Canis lupus familiaris: one gene and its partner. The protein of the gene in region 1 binds, or shares a complex with, the protein of each later gene. Links are inferred from orthologs where the notes say so. Each region holds a gene or a part of one and is shown in the gene's direction. Other genes may lie near its edges.

Region 1 (4,335 bases):
ACACAACAAACAATGACATTAGAAGGTGACAGGGTGATGGAAGAAGTAGATGGGAGGTTTTCGGTTTCAAACAGGGGGACTCGGGACGCCCAGGTGACTCAGTGGTTGAGCACCTGCCTTCGGCCCAGGGTGTGATTCTGGAGACCCGGGATCGAGTCCCACATCGGGCTCCCTGCGTGGAGCCTGCTTCTCCCTCTGCCTGTGTCTCTGCCTCTCTCTCTCTCTGTGTCTCTCAGAATAAATAAATAAAATCTTAAAAAAAAACAAAACAATCAAGGGACTCAGGGAAGGCAGGGAGCGAGAGGGCTGGCAGGAAGAGGTCAAAGGAGAGGGAGCAGCTGTAGGAATGTCAGAAGAAGGGCGTATCCACCAGAGGGTGCAATGTGTGCAAAGGCCCTGGGGCTGCACTTTGCCTGCTGCGTTGGCTGCAGGAGGCCCCGGGGGAGGGGGGAGGGGAGGTCAGAGGCTGTCGTGGGGCAAGCCTGGGGCACACCTGGGAGGCCTCGTTGATTGCCTTGAAAAGCCGGGGTTTTCCTTTGCTGTTGCTGCATTTCAGCTGAGAGATGGGGGAGGGGGAGAGGAGGGAGAGGGCCACAGATGGGGGCTCACGTCGGCGCCTGCAGTTCTGAAGGTGGAGGGTTTGCAGTCGGACAGGATGGACAGGATGTGGAGAAGGGGCAGGACGGAGGAGCGGAGCTGCCGGCCCAGGGCGGACAGACTAGGGAGAAACGGGTGTAGACGGCAGATAAGAAAAAACGGGCTGGCGGAGGGGGTGCCTGGGGGGCTCCGTTGCTTAGGCTTTTTTTTTTAATTCTCGAGAGACAGAGACAGAGAGACAGAGAGAGAAAGAGAGAGAGAGAGAGGCAGAGACACAGGCAGAGGGAGAAGCAGGCTCCACGCAGGGAGCCCGACGTGGGACTCCAGGTCTCCAGGGTCACGCCCTGGGCTGCAGGCGGTGCTAAACCGCTGAGCCACCCGGGCTGCCTTTCTTTTTTTTTTTTTTTTTTTTAAGACTATTTACTCCTGAGAACCGCTGGGGGAGAGGCAGGCTCCTGCGGGACCCGATGCGGGACTCGAGCCCACGATGCGGGGATCACACCCCGAGCGGACGCTCAGCCACGGAGCCACCCGGGCGACCCGAGGCTGCTGCGCAGTAAGGCGGCGGCGACGCCCAGCAGCGGGATGCGTACCTGGTGGGGGGCCTGACAACATGCCCTGCGCCCCGGGGAGGCGAGCTGACCGCTGACCCCACCCTGGCCTCAGTTTCCCCGCCCACACCTCGCCTCCGCCCTTCCGGATTCCAAACTCCCCACCCACACGGGCATCGGGCGGAAACCACAACTCCCGACAGGCCCCGCGGCCGAAACCCCGCGACAACTGCCGAGGCGAGAGTGGGCGGTCCCGTTCGCTCGGCTCTGGCTCCGCCCACCGCCGCTCGCAGAAGGCCCGGGCTGCCCTCGGCGCTGCCGCCCGCGAAGGTCTCTGGAGTCCGGCGTTCGCTGTGGGCAGCCCCGCGCGGGGCTTGGCAGGGCTCGGCGCAGGCGCAGTCAGCGCGGGCCCCTGCCGCGGGCTCAGGCGCGCGGGTTGCGAGCGGCGGCCGCCATGGACGACGAGGAGGAGACGTACCGGCTGTGGAAGATCCGCAAGACCATCATGCAGGTGAGCCCGCGCGGTCAGGGCGGCGGCGGGCGCAGCTCGGAGCTTCCGGGCGCGCTCGGCGGGTGCGTCCCGGCCTCTGCGGCCCCTTCCTGTGCGGTCCCCACGCGCTCGGAGGCGCCGGGCCGCGGCCCTGTCCGTCCTTCTCCGCGGTGACGTCATCCGGCCGCGCCCCTCCCGCCCCGCCCTCTGAGCCCGGGGGTCACCCGGCTGGTGCTCCCTGCAGCTGTGCCACGACCGCGGCTACCTGGTGACGCAGGATGAGCTGGACCAGACGCTGGAAGAGTTCAAGGCCCAGTTTGGGGACAAGCCGAGCGAGGGGCGGCCCCGGCGCACGGACCTCACGGTGCTGGTGGCCCACAACGACGACCCCACCGACCAGATGTTTGTCTTCTTTCCAGGTGAGGGTCGCGTGGGTCCTGGGTGGCTGCGTGACCCCTAGGAGTCCGCAGCCCTCGTGCAGCCATCCAGGGACGGTGTCTACACCCGCCCTCCCGAGTGCCCAGCCTGCTGCGCACGGTGCCACGGGGTGCTGATGGGAGCCCTGGGTTCTGTTCCCCGCTGACTGTTCGTTCAGTGCAGCCGGATTGTCGCAGGCCTCCCGGGGGGCCCAGCCCCCTGCCCAGAAGCAAGGGCGTCGGAAACCTTTGCAGGAGGGACCCTCCTGGTGCTCGTGCAAACAGCGTCCCCGTGTGTGGGTCGGCCTGTGGCAGGGCCCTCCCTGGAGTGGGCCCGGGGCGCCCGTGTGCTCCAGTGGGCCACAGAATGGGACTGAGCGGCCGTGCTGGTCCACCTGGACCGCCGCGACTGGGCGCCGCAGACCGGGCGGCTTCAGCAGCAGCCTGACCTCTTCCGGGGCTGCAGGCAGGACGTCTGAGACCAGGGTGTGCACGGGGCTGGGTCCCCCTGAGGCCTCTCCCTGGCGTGCCGGTGGCCGTCTTCTCCATGAGTTCCCGAGGTCGTGCCTCTGTGTGTCTGTGCTGTTGTGTCTGACTGAGGTCCATCCTGACAACCTGGTGGAATCTCCTCTTTAAAGACCTCAGTTCCAAGTACGGTTGCACCCGAGGTCTCGGGGGTTAGGATTGTAACACGGGGATTCCGTGGGAAACAGCTCAGTCCCTGACGCTGCCCGTCAGGTGAGCAAGGGTCCGAGGGGAGTGCTGTGATGGGGCAGATGTGGTGCACCACACGCACCCGTCCTGGCAGCAGGCACCCAGTTGCTCACCTTCCACCAGGCTCAGAGGGTCCCGCAGGTCTTGGCCCCTGTACTGTGGTGAGCGTGAGGGTTCCCACCGTGGCTGTGCAGGGAGGGGGTTTGGTCCTTCAGGTCAGCTGCTTCATCTGGGGATTCCAGACATTGCACCACGTAGGTCCCCAGATTCAGCTTCCAGGGAGGGATCCACCAAGTGGGTAGATGCAGGGCACCCATCAGCTCCGTGGGGGCTGGGGGGGAGGACTGGCACCCTGGTGGGTTCCCTGGGGCCCTAGAAAGAGGGAGCTGGTCCAGAGAGGCACTGCTACACCTTGGCAAGGTCAAGCTGGAGCCCGCGCGCCTAGCAGGGTGGAAGTGAACGAGCAGGTGAGTGAGCAGGGCCCTTGGGGCAGGAGGGACTCTTGCAGTGTAGACCTCGTGTGTTCTGTCCCCAGAGGAGCCTAAAGTGGGAATCAAGACCATCAAGGTGTATTGCCAGCGGATGCAGGAGGAGAACATCACCCGGGCCCTCATTGTGGTACAGCAGGGCATGACTCCCTCCGCCAAGCAGGTGGGCACGCTGCTCGTGTTGGCCGCACGTCCTCATGGGCCCCAGGATCTGGGGATCTGAGAAGGAGCGGCTCTCCCGTGTGGGCAGAAGCCAGAGCAGGGAGGTGCCCTGCATGGGTGCCAGCATTCCTGTGGTTAACAGGTCCGAGGAGGGGCTGCTGTTTGGGACGGAGGGCCAGCTCTGTGCGCTCGTCCCTGCAGGGTTCTCTACGTCACACCAGCACAGGGACAACTGCAGGAGCATTTTGTTAGGTGTCACAGTTTGTGTCGGGTGGTCTCTTCCTCCCAGAGGAGCCTTACTGACCTGACACGTGGGAACCCCCTTTGGCTCCCACCTGCCCTCAGCCCCTGGGAGAGGTGGGGTGGCGGCGTCTTGGGCCTTGGCTGTGCGTGAGGGTCAGCCTCTCTTTCAGTCCCTGGTTGACATGGCCCCCAAGTACATCCTGGAGCAGTTTCTGCAGCAGGAGCTACTCATCAACATCACGGAGCACGAGGTGAGGGCCTTAGTGGGGGTCTGCGGGAGGGGAGGCTGGACGGCTGGTGAGGTGGCACCTGCCCGAGCACAGGGAGGGCCTGGGGACGCACCAGGTGCCGCTGCTCCCACTTTGTGGGGAGGAGGAAGCAGAGCCGGAGTCTCAGTGAGGCCCTGGGCACTTGCCAGGTGTGCAGTCAGGCAGCTGGGGGGCAGGGGGTGGGGTCTGTCCAGGGGCCCCTGCACTCTCCAGGTTATACCCCCCCAGGCGCCTGCAGGCCATAGCTCCTTCCCCCCAGGCGTGGAGTCAGGAGCAGGGTGGGGTGGCAGCTGGGACCCTTGGGTGGATGGTTGACTCCAAGGAAACAGCCTGTGGCGCTCTGCTCCCCTTTCCCGTGTGGGGGCGCCGTGGGGCCTGTCACACCCACAGACTCAGTTTCCCCTC
Region 2 (3,563 bases), on another chromosome or scaffold:
GAGATGTCATGGTTCCCACTGTGTCCCCAGTACAGGGCCAGGCACAGAGGATTTTTTTTTTTAAGATTTTATTTATTTATTCATGAGAGACAGAGAGAGGCAGAGACACAGGCAGAGGGAGAAGCAGGCTCCCTGTGAGGAGCCCGATGTGGGACTCGATCCCGGAACTCCAGGATCACACCCTGAGCCAAGGGCCGACGCTCAGTCACTGAGCCACTCAAGCATCCCAACTTTTTTTTTTTTTTTAATTAAGTAAAATTGAATATGTGAATTCATTCATTTGCCTATTTTTTTTTTAAATTTTTATTTATTCATGATAGGCACACAGTGAGAGAGAGAGAGGCAGAGACACAGGCAGAGGGAGAAGCAGGCTCCATGCACCGGGAGCCTGACGTGGGATTCGATCCCGGGTCTCCAGGATCGCGCCCTGGGCCAAAGGCAGGCGCCAAACCGCTGCGCCACCCAGGGATCCCTCATTTGCCTATTTTTAAGAAAAATTTTATTTGTATTTATTCATGAGAGAGAGCGGCAGGGAGAGAAGCAGGCTCCCTGTAAGGAGCCCAGTGTGGGACTGGATCCTGAGACCCCAGGATCAAGACCTGAGCCGAAGGCAGATGCTCAACCGCTGAGCCACCCAGGCATCCCCACCTGTGTTTTTGGTTTTTTTTTTTTTCAACAAATGGGTCCTGCCCAGCACTGAGGAAGTGGCAGAAACCAAGAGGGACCCCATTCCTGATCTCCTGGCAGTTACACTGTAGAGGAGAAGACAAGTAACAAAGACTCAAATAAAAAAGATAATTCCAGAAAGGGATACTTTTTCACAAGAAAAATGTTGCCATGTTGGAGCATGCCTGCAGTGGCCAGGATGGCCAGGGAAGCCCTGAGGTGCTGACATTTGAGCTGAGTTCCAAATGACCAAATGGAACCAGCTGCCTTGGGAAGCTTTTCAGGCTGTGAGGCCAGCAAGTACAAAGGCCCTGGGGTGGAGTGAGCCTGGTGGTTTTTGAAACTTAGGAGGCCTGTGAGCTAGGAGAAAATGGGTCAGCGTGGCGGGTTCTCGCAGATAATTTTGGACTCCGGAAGGAGTATGGGGAGCTGTGCAGGGCTTCTGAGCAGGGCAGGGATGTGACCTGAATCAGAATTTTACAGGGTCCCTCTGCTTCTGGGAGGGGAGCAGGGGCAGCAAGAGCTGGATGCCCAGTGAGGTGACTGCAATGGTCCAGGCTAGAGGTGATAGTGGGGGAGGGAGTGGGGGCAGTGGTCAGATTGCAGATAGGCTTTGGAGGCAGAGCTTGACCCATGGCTTAGATACCATGATCATGGAAGGCTCCAGGCTTTGGCTTGAGTGGTGGTGTGGGTTCTTAGAGCCTTGAGAGTGTCTGAGGAGTAAACCTTTAGTGCTCTCTGCTCATGATGCTCCCTGAGTGGATGTCAGCCCTGGGAGAAGCGGGCAGGTTGGGGTGTACTTTGGACTCCCAAAGACTGGGTTTTAAGCTTGAGCAACTGGTGGTTGGCCCCAATCACTAATGGGGGGAGGAGGTAATAGACAAGTGGGCTTGGCTATGACCGGTGACCTGGAATCTCACCCGGTTGTAGGTTTCACCATCATCATCGAGCCCTTTGATGACAGGACCCCCACCATTGCCAACCCCATCCTGCACTTCAGGTGAGACCCAACCGCAGTGTGAGGCTGTCAACAGACCACGGGGGCCCAAGCATGGTCCTCACCACCCTCCTCTGCTTCCTATAGCTGCATGGATGCTTCACTGGCCATCAAACCCGTGTTTGAGCGTTTCCAGTCTGTCATCATCACATCTGGGGTGAGGACCCTTATCTGCCCTAAACTCCCAGTCCTCTACTATGGGGATCCTGGTTTCTGCCCGGTCCTGCTAAGATCCCTCCTGCTGTCCCTGCTATAGACGCTGTCCCCACTGGACATCTACCCCAAGATTCTGGACTTCCACCCCGTCACCATGGCAACCTTCACCATGACGCTGGCCCGGGTCTGCCTCTGCCCTATGGTGCGTGGGAGAGGGTGGATGCTGGGCCAGGGGAGATGTGTCAGCTCTCGTCCTCCTGTTCCCTCTCAGGCTGCTCAGGCAGGAGAGTATTAGCCTGAGGGCATAGGCTTTGATTCAGATAGATCTGGGCTTGATGCTACTGCTTCCTGTGGGTCTGACTCCCCAAGCCTCAGTTTCTAACCTGTAACATGGGGATGCATCCTCCCTGACCTCCCAGGGCGGTTGAGGTGATAGTGAGATAGTGGATACAAGATGCTTATGTGGCCCAGAGCCTGGCACCAGTCGGCCCTCAGTCAGCATCTTGGTTAATGTGGGCTTTGCCTGGTTCATCATCTGGTCATGACCTTGATGATGACCCTTCTCTGCCTCAGCCTCCTTTGTAAAACAGGCATCGTAACATGAGCCCTTAATTCCTTATCTGAATCCCTTGGGCCAGATGTATTTTAGAATTGAGAATTTTCCAGATTTTAAAGACAAACCACATGCTGTACAGTATGTGACATCCCCAGTGGGGTCTGGGCAGCTCCCTCCAGTGAAAGTTTTATTTCAGCAGGAACATGTTTTGAAACGTCAAACTAAGGGAGGTAAGTCAGGACTCTGAATAGACTCAGGTCAGGGCAGATTTTGCCACTATAGGAGTTTGCACCAAACTTAAATATCTGGAGTTCCTTGGGTCTTGGAATTGCCCTTCAGGGGTTGTGGACTGGTGACGGCCACATTCTGCATCATGGTTTTGTGGAGTTGCTGGGGGGGGGGAGGGGGGGAAGGGGAGGTGCACCTGTGGCTGGCGGTTGGTGAGGTTGTGGTGGAACCCTTTCTTCTGGAACTGTGTGGCTGGGAGGCTGAGGCCAGTAACACATATTTGCTGGTTAGCAACACAGACAGACTTGGGTTCAGTGTCGGCTCTGCCCTTGATTTGCCACGTGACCTTGGGCAGGCAGGCAGCTCACATCTGGGCCTGAGGTCATCCATCCGTGCAGTGCAGATAACAGGGGAGCTGAGGGTTCACTCAATGACATTGTGTCTATAAAAAGCTCAGCCTGGCACCGGCAGGCAGCTAACGCATCAGAATGGTGCTGTTTGCTTATCGTTTGCTTATTGTGACGTCTGTTGCTCTCTGCAGATCATTGGTCGTGGCAATGACCAGGTGGCCATTAGCTCTAAATTTGAGACCCGGGAAGATATTGGTATGCTGCTCATGGTGGTTTGTGTGGCTCCTGAGAGGGGAGGTGTATCAGTGGGCTAAGTCATGCTGCAGTAACAAACATCCCCAAATTACAGTGGCTTGACACAGAGGTTACTTTTTGCTCACAGTATGTGACACTGTGGACTGGTGGGGGCCTGCCCCGTGGTTTCTCACTCCAGGAACCCTTACCACGTCCCCTAAATTGTGACGGCAAGGATCCTGGTAATGGTGCTGGGCCTCACGAGGGTTTACCTGGAAGTGACACATAGCCACTTCATGCATTTCATTGGCTAGGTCGAGTCACATGGCCACGCCTAACTTCAGGGGCGGGGGGTGGGGTGGGGTGGTGCAGTTCT

What was found.
Region 2: POLR2E (region 1) and ERCC2 share a complex: the UniProt entries of both Homo sapiens proteins name them as parts of the TBP-based Pol II pre-initiation complex. The link is inferred for Canis lupus familiaris from reciprocal best matches to the Homo sapiens genes POLR2E and ERCC2.

Annotation. Positions count from the first base shown.
Region 1 is NC_049241.1:58,128,305-58,132,639, forward strand, and holds the start of POLR2E (DNA-directed RNA polymerases I, II, and III subunit RPABC1), read left to right. Parts: upstream 1-1,525; 5' UTR 1,526-1,602; coding exon 1,603-1,659; intron 1,660-1,882; coding exon 1,883-2,057; intron 2,058-3,303; coding exon 3,304-3,419; intron 3,420-3,831; coding exon 3,832-3,912; intron 3,913-4,335. UniProt on the Homo sapiens protein: DNA-dependent RNA polymerase catalyzes the transcription of DNA into RNA using the four ribonucleoside triphosphates as substrates.
Region 2 is NC_049222.1:110,896,051-110,899,613, forward strand, and holds part of ERCC2 (general transcription and DNA repair factor IIH helicase subunit XPD), read left to right. Parts: intron 1-1,596; coding exon 1,597-1,666; intron 1,667-1,750; coding exon 1,751-1,820; intron 1,821-1,919; coding exon 1,920-2,021; intron 2,022-3,144; coding exon 3,145-3,208; intron 3,209-3,563. UniProt on the Homo sapiens protein: ATP-dependent 5'-3' DNA helicase. Component of the general transcription and DNA repair factor IIH (TFIIH) core complex, not absolutely essential for minimal transcription in vitro.